Linked DNA regions of Mus musculus. The protein of the gene in region 1 purifies or fractionates together with the protein of each later gene. This does not show direct contact. Links are inferred from orthologs where the notes say so. Each region holds a gene or a part of one and is shown on either strand. Other genes may lie near its edges.

Region 1 (5,016 bases):
TAATTCAGAGACCACAGCATCAGCAGATAGAATTACTTACGCAGAAAAATTGTCACCGCTTATAAATGAAGCTTGCAGATACTGTGACCTTAAGGAATTCCATGGTTGCACCAGAAATTCTGCTCAGCTCTTTTCAAAGCAGAGTCCGTGTGCTAGTGCTAAGCCAAGTTCACGTTCAAAACTTAGTAGCATTCGTCAGAAATCAAGAATTTTTCATCTTGATGTACCTCAGATTCATGTTAATCTTGATAAAAGGGCAGTGCTTGCTGAGAAGATAGTTGCTGAAGCTATTGAGAAAGCAGAGAGAGAGTTGAGCAACACGAGTTTGGCAGCTGATAGTGGAATCGGACAAGATGGCATTAGCTTTGCTGAGAGCCTTACTACAGAAATCATGACAACAGCTGTGACAAATGCTGGGCATGCTGTTAGCAGGTACGTTTCAAATTTTTTGTCAAGTCTTGTAATAGAATGAAGAGTTAACTTTGCCCTGTATGTTTTAGGTTCTGTTCATAAAAACTCTACTTATTTTCATCCTAACTTAACAGAGGTCTTCTCTGTTGCATTTGTATGTAGCTTCATGTCCTGTGCTTGGTTTTCATATGAAATTTTTGTTTCCCGGTTCCTTTTGTGAGTAATTATTCATTTACAGGGCTGGAAGATGAGAGAAAACACAATAACATCAACTAAGAAGCAGGTAATCAGAATAAAGGAAATGGGTGAATTTTATTCAAGAGTTTAGACTGGTATATTTACTACTCTGAGATTAATATCTGTTTCTATGGTCGAGACAGTTTTCTACACATGGCTTGGACAGTTTTTATTCTTCCTCTTCTATCATAGCAGCTTCAGAAGAGGAAACTAGATGGTGATTCCTAAGCCCTCACTCCCAGGACTCGGCCAATAACTCTGCTATTCATTCTTCAGATTATTCATCTTCTTCTTAGACCTGGCCAGTAATGTACCCCGCAGTCTTCCTTAAGCTTGTTTTAATCCAGACTGGAATTTGTAGGCTCTCTCTTTGTACTTCTGTTCCCAGGCTTCTGTGAGAACTGCAGAGTCCACTCAGTTGTATATAATTCTGCCTCACATTTTATAAAGTTAAAATGATTTACAATTGAAGAATGATTGATTCAAATAGATTATTCACTAAGATGTTAACTAAATTGTTTCACTAATGTTTCTTTTCTCATAACTGTTTGATTAATGGTAGAATATATAATAGGACGTTACAAACCCATAACGATCAGCTGGGAGCCATATGAATTTCAAATAGGAAAGCATATGACAGTGGAATTTTAGAATAATAATAGATCTAGACTTTATTTTCAATTAGCATGAGTCCAGTTACCTAGCAGTCATTACAAACCCTCTTTTACCCTCCTCCTGTGAATCATTTTCTTAAAAATGTGGTAGGTAACAGGAAAAAGTGTTAAATAAAATAAAGTTGTGGTGGAAGATACCTGTGTTTGGAATGCCAAGCCTAACTGAGTTGTCAGATCTTTTTAAATGCAAAGTGAGAGGTGCTTTAAAAATGGGAAGGGCAGTTCAAGGCTTAATTTAGGTGTTAGGGATATAAAAGAAATTGAAACAGGCAAAAAAACCAAACAAAAAAACAAACAAACAAAAAAACAACCCCAAACCAAACCAAACCAAAAACCACATTGTTCTGCAAGAGCTGGGGGTCCTGTGTTCTGGGCACTGCTGTAGAGTGACTCAACTTGGAGGATGGCAGTGAGGGACCAGCTTATACATATATGATGTTTGGAAGTCAATGGAAAGTTTTGATCAGAAAACTGATACCTTTTCTCTTCCTGCTTAAGCATCACTCTTTAGAACTGTGTTGACGATATACAGATGGAGCAATTAGTTTAGTTTCTCTAAGACAGGGTCTTACTATGTAGCCTTGGCTAGCTTAGAATTATGTAGATCAGACTGGTTTTGAATCACAGAGATACCTCCCAAATGCTGGAACATCAGTTTCTGCTAAGAAATATGTTTATGATTCATATTATGAAGAGATTTCTTTAGTTTGAATATAGGCTTGGTTGACACAGCTAGAATTTCAAACTGCATTTCTAATACTAAAAGCCAGAAGGAGGCTCTTTTAGATTCAAATGAAGGTAGTATTTTTATAGGTCAGATGATTTGCTTAGAACTTCTAGTGAGGCGTACTTCTGCTCAGTGTCCTGTTGAACGTGGAAAGTGCTTTCAACTGAATGTAGATGCACAAGGGTATTGTCTAGGTAGCAGATGCGGTCCTTGCTGTGCTGATGTTCAGTCTTCATTATGTGCAGATGCAGCGACATGTTCAGGGGTGTTAGTGTCACCGGGGATATAATTCCTTAGTGTCAGCTTTATCATCTTCTTTCTTTGTCACAATTTGTGATGCTTCAATTGTTTTTTAAATTATTACCATGTGATCGTTTCCTAGTTCAAGAGAAATAGAAGATTTTCAGTCAACTGAGTCACTTGGCAGCCAGCAGATGAATCTCAGTGTTGGTGAAGACAGCACAGGTAGCTGGTCCAACTTAAGTTTTGAGGATGACCATCAAGATGAAAGCAGCAGTTTCCATCATCTCAGTGAAAGGTAACTCTGACTGTATAGTTAAGTGTGTGAGAAAGGTCTCTAGACTTAAGAAAAGTGAGCAGTGGGTTTGTGTTATTTAAAAATTCTCAATTTGGAAATCTGTCTATACATCCAACATTTTATTATTCACAATGTGGCTCTTTTGTAGTTTTTACTTTAATTGTTCTTAAGGGTATGGCTTTCTTCTGGTGTGGCCCAGTCTGGTCTTGAAGTTAAGTTTTTCTCTTAACTTTCCAGGGTCTGGATTATAGGCTTGTGGATTATATTGCCATCCCTGGCTTCTCAATGGCTTTGACACATATTAAATGCAGTGAGGGAACAGAGCAAATATCTTCGGATATACTGACAGCTGACCTGAAAAAAAGTATTGCAATATTGAATTTTATTTCCATGTTAAGTTTTCATCTATGTTGTGGGAGTATAATTTATCACTTTAAAGAGCATACCTTCATTAGAAAGCTATTCATGAGGACAGTTAGGTGTCTGTAAATGGCATTACTATAACCCTGCAGTTTCCTGATACAAGCTATAATAAATAGTGTTTCTAGGGACAGGACTTCTGCTAGGAACAAAATATTTTATGTCGCTTCTTGGATTGAAAATGCAAACATTGCATAGTCTTAGATTTTTTAAAACCTACTTTAATAAGGGTTACTAAATACTTTAACCTCCCTTCTAGCCCACCACTCACCTGAGGTAGTGGAAATGAAAGGTTAATAGGGCACAGGGGAATGTGGACCTATTTAGAAATAGTTCTTTGGGGTAATTCCAGTCTTCATTGTCAGGACATCAGTGGTTGAATTGATGTGAGTCAGCAATAGTACTCCATCCACTCACAAACATCATTCACTAACCAGCAACGGCAGTTCAGTCCAAAGTGGTAAGCCACCCAGAATATCACCACAAGTTCTTCGATGCATTTCTCTCTATGAGGTCATGACAAATGATGATCAGCTAAGGAGGCAAGACAAACAAGTGCCACAGTGCTGTCAGCCAAGACCAGCATCTGCAAAGCCCAACAAAGCCCAGCAAAGAGTGGCAAGGTAAACCAATGCCACAGTGTAGTCCACTGTCTGCTGGGTTATACTTATACCCTTTCCAAACATCACATGTTCTCTTTCCAGGCAGCTTCCAGAAAAACACCATGTGTCTGTTCTCAGCAAAACATCCTCTCATAACACAGTTTTCAGAAAAACGTCACATGACACAACTGAGTCTCCAAAGAAACCAGAAATTTCACTTTACATGAATCTGTAAAAAAAAGTTTTATATACTTGAAGACATTTACTTTACATGCAAATTTTCTAGTTAACTTTGTTCACAATAGCCTCCTTTGAAATATTTCATTATGATATAGATTCTTATATTCTCACCTCTACCTAAAGGCATTCATGGGTTGCTTATGAACTCCCGTGAAGTATTTGTCCATATTAACTGACAATTGAAATAGAAGTAACAGCAATAGTTAGACCTCAGGGAGGGAGAAGTTCTCAGCATACCTCTACCAGGAGGTATATGTGGAAAGAACCGTGTGCAGTCCCTGCTGACATCGACCCTGGAAATGTTCTTGCTGGGAGAGGGAAGGAAGACAGTGTGACGTTGGAGGAGAGGCTGGGGTGGCATAAGGAGAGGAGGTGTGGCCTCTGGCCTAGGAGAGCGAGGCGTCCTAGCCTAAGGCTGGGAGGGTTTCTTTTCTACTTGGTTACACATTTTCTTTTCTTTTTTTTCCTTTTCTTCCTTCCTTCTTTCTTTCTTTCTTTCTTTCTTACTTTCTCTCTCTCTCTCTCTCTCTCTCTTTCTTTCTTTCTTTCTTTCTTTCTTTCTTTCTTATACTGTGTTTGTTATGTTATGGGAAAAATCAGTATTTTTTTACAATTTGGATGCCAAAAAATAGTCTTTAAAATGGAAACAGTAGAGCAAGGTCAAAAATCATGATTTTCCCTGGAACACTGTAATAACACTTAAGTTTTTTTTTCTTCTTTAAGGAAAACAAGCTTCCAAGACTTCAGCAAGAGTGACATTAAACTGGGAGAAGCCAGTGGTCTTAAGAGGGTTTGTAGAAAGCTCAGTAACTAGAGAGGGTTAACTGAGTTGTTGCAAGGGGCAAGTCTTTCCTGGGCTCTAGTCTTCATTCTGCCTGCAGTGTTTAGTTTATTAATATGGATAACTTAGAAACCAGGCTGAAGTGACAGCCTCGTAACAGTAACAAAACCAAATCAGGCTGAGGCCAGAGTAATTATATAGAATCTGAGCAAATGCATTCAGGCTCAGAAATTATGTGAACCCAGGTAGGGAGAACGTCTGACTTGAGAGTGTTTAGTCAGAAGATGTGTGTTTCATACAAGTACTGTTAGTATGCACTACTAACTAGTCATGTTGCAGTGGTTTTGAGATTTAGACAGGAGACAGCTCTTGGGACTTAAACTCTG
Region 2 (5,116 bases), on another chromosome or scaffold:
GGCTAGAGTGACTTCTAAATGCACCACTGGCCAAAGCAGTCACAATCCCCCTTGCGTTGCACTCCGGGCTTAGGAATGGTAAAGTTGTTCTGTGGAAGAGCACATGGGCTGGGAGGTACCATTACTCACTTTCAGAAAATAAAATGTATGTGGTCAGAAGTTGTAGCCAAAAGAAAAGATGAGTGTTTGCTGCCGGAAGGAGGCTCCTTTCTCTTCCCCACTTTCCTGTTAGCTGACTTAGAGGAAATGACTGGAGGTGGAGGAGCCACAAAGCCAGAATTACACAGCAATGAGCTTGAATGAGCGAGGATTCTTGATCGACATTGAGGACCGCAACGATAAAATCCCATCTTAACTAGTATTCTTTGCATTTTCTGCTGAGCAGTAGGGAGAAACATGATAGAAATACATCTTAGATTATTGGATCTGCAAAACATTTCGGTAGAGAACTTGACTAATACTGTGTTCCATATGGCCTCATGTGAAGACCACATTTTTCTGAGTTTATTTCTTATACACCACACAATTACAATTTAGAAGTATGTTATTTTAAAAAAAACACACACCAGTATTATTATTATGAGGTTAAGAAACTGAACTTGAGAAATGAATTCCCTTATGAAAAAAAAAGATAAATAAACATTGTAAACAAATGGGTAAGAAGCAATTTTTAAAAAATAAAACGAAATGATATTTTTGATTTCTAGGTTTTGGGTTTCGTGAGTCACATATTTTCCTTATGTGTGGGCAGAAAGGTAAGTGAGAACAACTAAGGAAATAAAATAAAACTCAATAAATAAATAAAACTTAAGAATAAAATAAAACTCAAGTGAGTTTGCACTTGGACTGCTTTACAATGAAATGGGCATCGTAGAAAATAAAGTATGCATATTTATACAGCGTTTAATTTGGCAAAAGATAAATTTTTCTGTTTCAAAATTCTCAGAATAGGCTCGTTTTAAAGACAAGGGTTTTCTTTAAAAAGCACAAATGTGTAGTTCTCTTTTCCTTTTTATTGCTATATTCAAATTTTGGAGATTTAATTGAAGTGACGCAAAGTGTCAGGAAAGGTTTTAAAAATAAGCAACAAGAGGCTAATCAGGTAACACACCCTTAGTTGTCTGTCCAGCTGCCCTGACTACCCTGTATCCTGTCTTGAAGGATCAACTAACTTTGTTAAGTGCTACACAATAAATGCGGCCTTTGTCTCAGTAACCAGTAGGAAATGTACTAAGCAGAGTGTGGCAGAGCATCTGTAAGGCAAACCATCACAGCCACGAGGCTAAAAGGCGGAATTAAAGAAAATTTTGTGACAGACAAGTGGCAGCATCTCTTTTATCCAGAAGAGAACCAGTAGGGCTGTGCGACTAACAAAAGACACCACGCACGTTTCTCTTGGGGTTGGATTCTAGGAAAAGGAAAAGCCACCAAGGTGGAGGCTGAAGTTTCAGCAGGAATTGCGCCGCACCAACTCTGCGTGGGACAGGGAGAAAGGTGCGTGGGATTCGCTCAGGGAGCTCAGGTGGAGCGCGCGGCCTCAGCCCCACGCCCCAGGCTCAGGCTGCCTCCACCCTGGGGCCACTTGAGAGGCGGCAGTGCTCCCGCCCGCCGGGTTGCCATGGTTTCCGGGGATCACGTGGGCGCGCGGGCGGAGGCGGGGCGCCGGGCGGGGGGCGGCGCAGCGGCGGCGGGAGCAGGAGCGGGAGGAGCTGGAGATGCTGCCAACCCTCCCCGGGCTGTGCTCGCTCTGCTGCTGCCGCCGCACGGAGCAGCCTCGCCGGGGGCCCAGTGCGCCGCGCTCGCAGCCGGTAGCGCCCGGGGCGCTCGCTCGGGAGCCGCGCAGCCCGAGACCGGACCGCGGATAGGGGGCGAGGGCGGCGTCCAGGCGCCTCGGCGTGCACGGGCAGGATGAGCATCGAGATCCCCGCGGGGCTCACGGAGCTGCTGCAGGGCTTCACGGTGGAGGTGCTGAGGCACCAGCCCGCCGACCTGCTGGAGTTCGCGCTGCAGCACTTCACGCGGCTGCAGCAGGAGAACGAGCGCAAGGGCGCCGCGCGCTTCGGCCATGAGGGCAGGACCTGGGGGGACGCGGGCGCAGCCGCCGGGGGCGGCATCCCCAGTAAGGGTGTCAACTTCGCCGAGGAGCCCATGCGCTCCGACTCCGAGAACGGCGAGGAGGAGGAGGCCGCGGAAGCAGGGGCGTTCAACGGTGAGGACCGGCCCCCTCGCGCCCTGAGCCCCGGCCGCCGCGTCCGCCTCACTCTCGAACCCCGCCTCGCTCTTGAACCCCGGGCTGAGCTCCCCACCTTCCCCGTGCTCTCCACCTTCCCATTACGCCCACCCCCTCAGCACCCATTTCGGTCGCTCCCACTCGCCCACCTTCCTACTCAGCTCTCTTGTCATGCCCTCCCTTTCTCTGGAGGTGGGGAAAGGAGAGGTTGCGCTCCCGCTGCCCCTCTGTCACCTCTCTTTCCGGGGCGATTTAGGGTGGGCATCTTGCTGGATCGTTAACTTTCCCGTGGTTGGAGATGTCTCAGGCTCCGGGAGTACCATTGTGCATGAAGGGCGCTTGGCGGCCTCTTTTCAGCCCTTTAGATTTATTAATGGAGTGTTCTGGGAGAAAGGGCGAAGCATGTAGGACTCAGTGAGAAGAGTGTGAAATCGGACTCGCTGAGGTAAAACAAATTAACGATAATAGCTGTGACATTCTTGGAATACGAATAATTTATTTTCCAGTTTTTCCAATACCATGTGGTGGCGATATTTTTGGACATATAACAAAGGAGCATATTTAGCCTGATACCTAGGGGGTCTTTGGCATGAGGAAATAGGCCAATGATTTTCTTTCTTTAAAAAAAAAGATACAAAACATATATTGAATGATTTTGATGTTCTTTTTAAAGTGTGTGGAAAAAAAAATAACACCATGGGAAGTTCTAAGAGCTTTGTCAGTTGTCTTAATGAAAAGCCAGCCAGCATCTAAGGACCACGCCAGACACTGAAGCTAGAGAGAATGAATGGGAGAGAAAGGGATTGTTTTAAATAGCTGCTTTTGGCGAGTCCCACCCCTTATGCTTCCCACCTCTCCCTGACACACCAGACACACATGCGTGTTTACACAATATGACCAAACCCCAGGTTTTGCAGGAGCCCGGGCTGAAATGCCGTGGTGTGCAAATGGACAAGTATTTTCCTTGGTGGTGTGAGGCGAGCATGCATGCAGCTTTTATTTGTTGATGCTGCTGGTGTGGGATTTGTGTGTCCACAATGCCTTTCACACAGTGAAAACACTAAAGGGCCATTCACTTCATTTCCCTTACGCCCTCCTCCCAGGAAGATTTTCATTCCTTTGTAGAATTAATTATATGTTGAATGGGTTATAAAATTAATGCATTCTTAGCTTGTTTAAAACACACAAACCCTGGATGTTAGTGCTCTGTGAATGTGAAAGATTGCTATTTAGATTTTTAATTTGGGACATTTGGGTGCTTTGAGAATAGGGTAATCATAGTTTTAATTGTTCCCACACCAAATCAGATGCTTGTCTCACTAGGAAGGGGAACTAGACAGCATCTTACACAGATGGTATAGAAAGGACAGTGACGTCTAATACTTGTATGCACACACATTTGTGCACATGCTATGTGTCTGTGGCATGGGGATGCAAGCGCAGGCAAGCAATGCACAATGGAAAAGGGGACTAGTGTCCTGAATGGGAGGCACCAAGGAGAAGGGAGGCTTGGGAGAGCCTCTGTGCTCTTTGGAATACAGTATTAATACAGTCAAACCTAATTATATCTAATTCTCTTGAAGCACTTTGCTTTGGTTTAATTTCTCCTTGCAAGAATGTGTATCTTGCACATTGGAAGAAAGAAGTGCTTTTGTAATTTTTATGAAGCTTTCTATTCCCCAAGTCATCTTTTCTATAAAAATCACTCAAGGTCAGTTGTAATAAATGCTTAACCAGTTGCCTTTTAACATCTCTACCTCCAGGGGTTTTAAAACTTCTTGACTATAACACAATTTGATCTTTATCCAGCAGATGTGTACGGGCATGTGCATAGCCGAAACTTTGGCATTGGTATAACCTCAATTGGGGCAATTCTCTTTTATATTTTTCTAACCCAACACTTTAATTATGTTAGATGTAAAGTGTGTTGAGAATCGGTTTAAAAAAGAACTGTGAGCTACAAAACGCTTGTCAAACTGTTTTTGTGGATGGCCTTTCAGACTTTGTGGGCATCCTATCATCTGGGTCTTCTTCTTTTTAAACAGCCCTTTAAACAAGTACACTCTATGGAGCTTGAATTTGTACAAGGCCATGATGTATCCAAACCTGATCATAGGGAATAAATATATATGTGTGTGGGGGGGTGTGCATGTGTGTGTGTGTGTATATGCACACACAGACACATCAAGATAGAGTCATCATTTATGGAAAGTTTGTGGAATTGACTGAAAACCCACAAACCTATTAAGGTTCTGTCTGTATGCAGGAGAATGCTGAAGAAAACCCAGCAGGCACTGGGCAGTTCTCTTGGCACAGTAGAGAAAGAGTAAGTGTTGGATGACAACAGTCCCTGTGGTACAGCACAGCATTGCAGGATCAATGACTTTACATTTCACATGAAGCTTGAAGCTTGATTCAGAAATATCATGATCTAGTACCCTTCTTAAGGAGCTTTTATGAATAGGTAAGACACAGGCTTGCTTATTTTCTTTTCTTCCTTATTTATTTATTTTTTTCCGGTCAACAAACATCTCTGGTTTCTCTGGTACCCACAGTTCCCTGATCATACTTTGAAAGCCATTAGTCAATGGATCATGATGACCATAATGTGTCTCGTCTTATTAGTGGTTAGAGAAAGGGCTGCTATTTGTTGACATCTGTGGTGTGCTAGGTCCTCCGTGAAAGCCTCCGTTCATCATCTCAGCTGCATGGGGGCTCTAATGAGACTGTCATTTACTTCGTGTTTCACAGCCAGTGTGCTGCAGGTCCAGAGCTGGCACCGGCGGGCCTGACTTCATCCCTGTACTCCTGTGATTCAGGTCTATCTCCAGAAGGGGCTGAGGCACAACCTAACCTGTGCTAGCCCCCTCATGTCAAACTCTCCTT

The links. The genes of interacting proteins can lie anywhere in the genome.
Region 2: the proteins of Akap11 (region 1) and Prkar2b purify together in Homo sapiens (affinity purification with mass spectrometry; 3 studies listed by BioGRID and IntAct, counting the BioPlex papers as one, with this or other methods). This does not show direct contact. The link is inferred for Mus musculus from reciprocal best matches to the Homo sapiens genes AKAP11 and PRKAR2B.

The regions. Positions count from the first base shown.
Region 1 is NC_000080.6:78,505,296-78,510,311, reverse strand, and holds part of Akap11 (A-kinase anchor protein 11), read left to right. Parts: coding exon 1-432; intron 433-2,431; coding exon 2,432-2,587; intron 2,588-5,016. UniProt on the Homo sapiens protein: Binds to type II regulatory subunits of protein kinase A and anchors/targets them.
Region 2 is NC_000078.6:32,057,875-32,062,990, reverse strand, and holds the start of Prkar2b (cAMP-dependent protein kinase type II-beta regulatory subunit), read left to right. Parts: upstream 1-1,713; 5' UTR 1,714-1,908; coding exon 1,909-2,209; intron 2,210-2,401; exon of another isoform or gene 2,402-2,675; intron 2,676-5,116. UniProt on the Homo sapiens protein: Regulatory subunit of the cAMP-dependent protein kinases involved in cAMP signaling in cells. Type II regulatory chains mediate membrane association by binding to anchoring proteins, including the MAP2 kinase.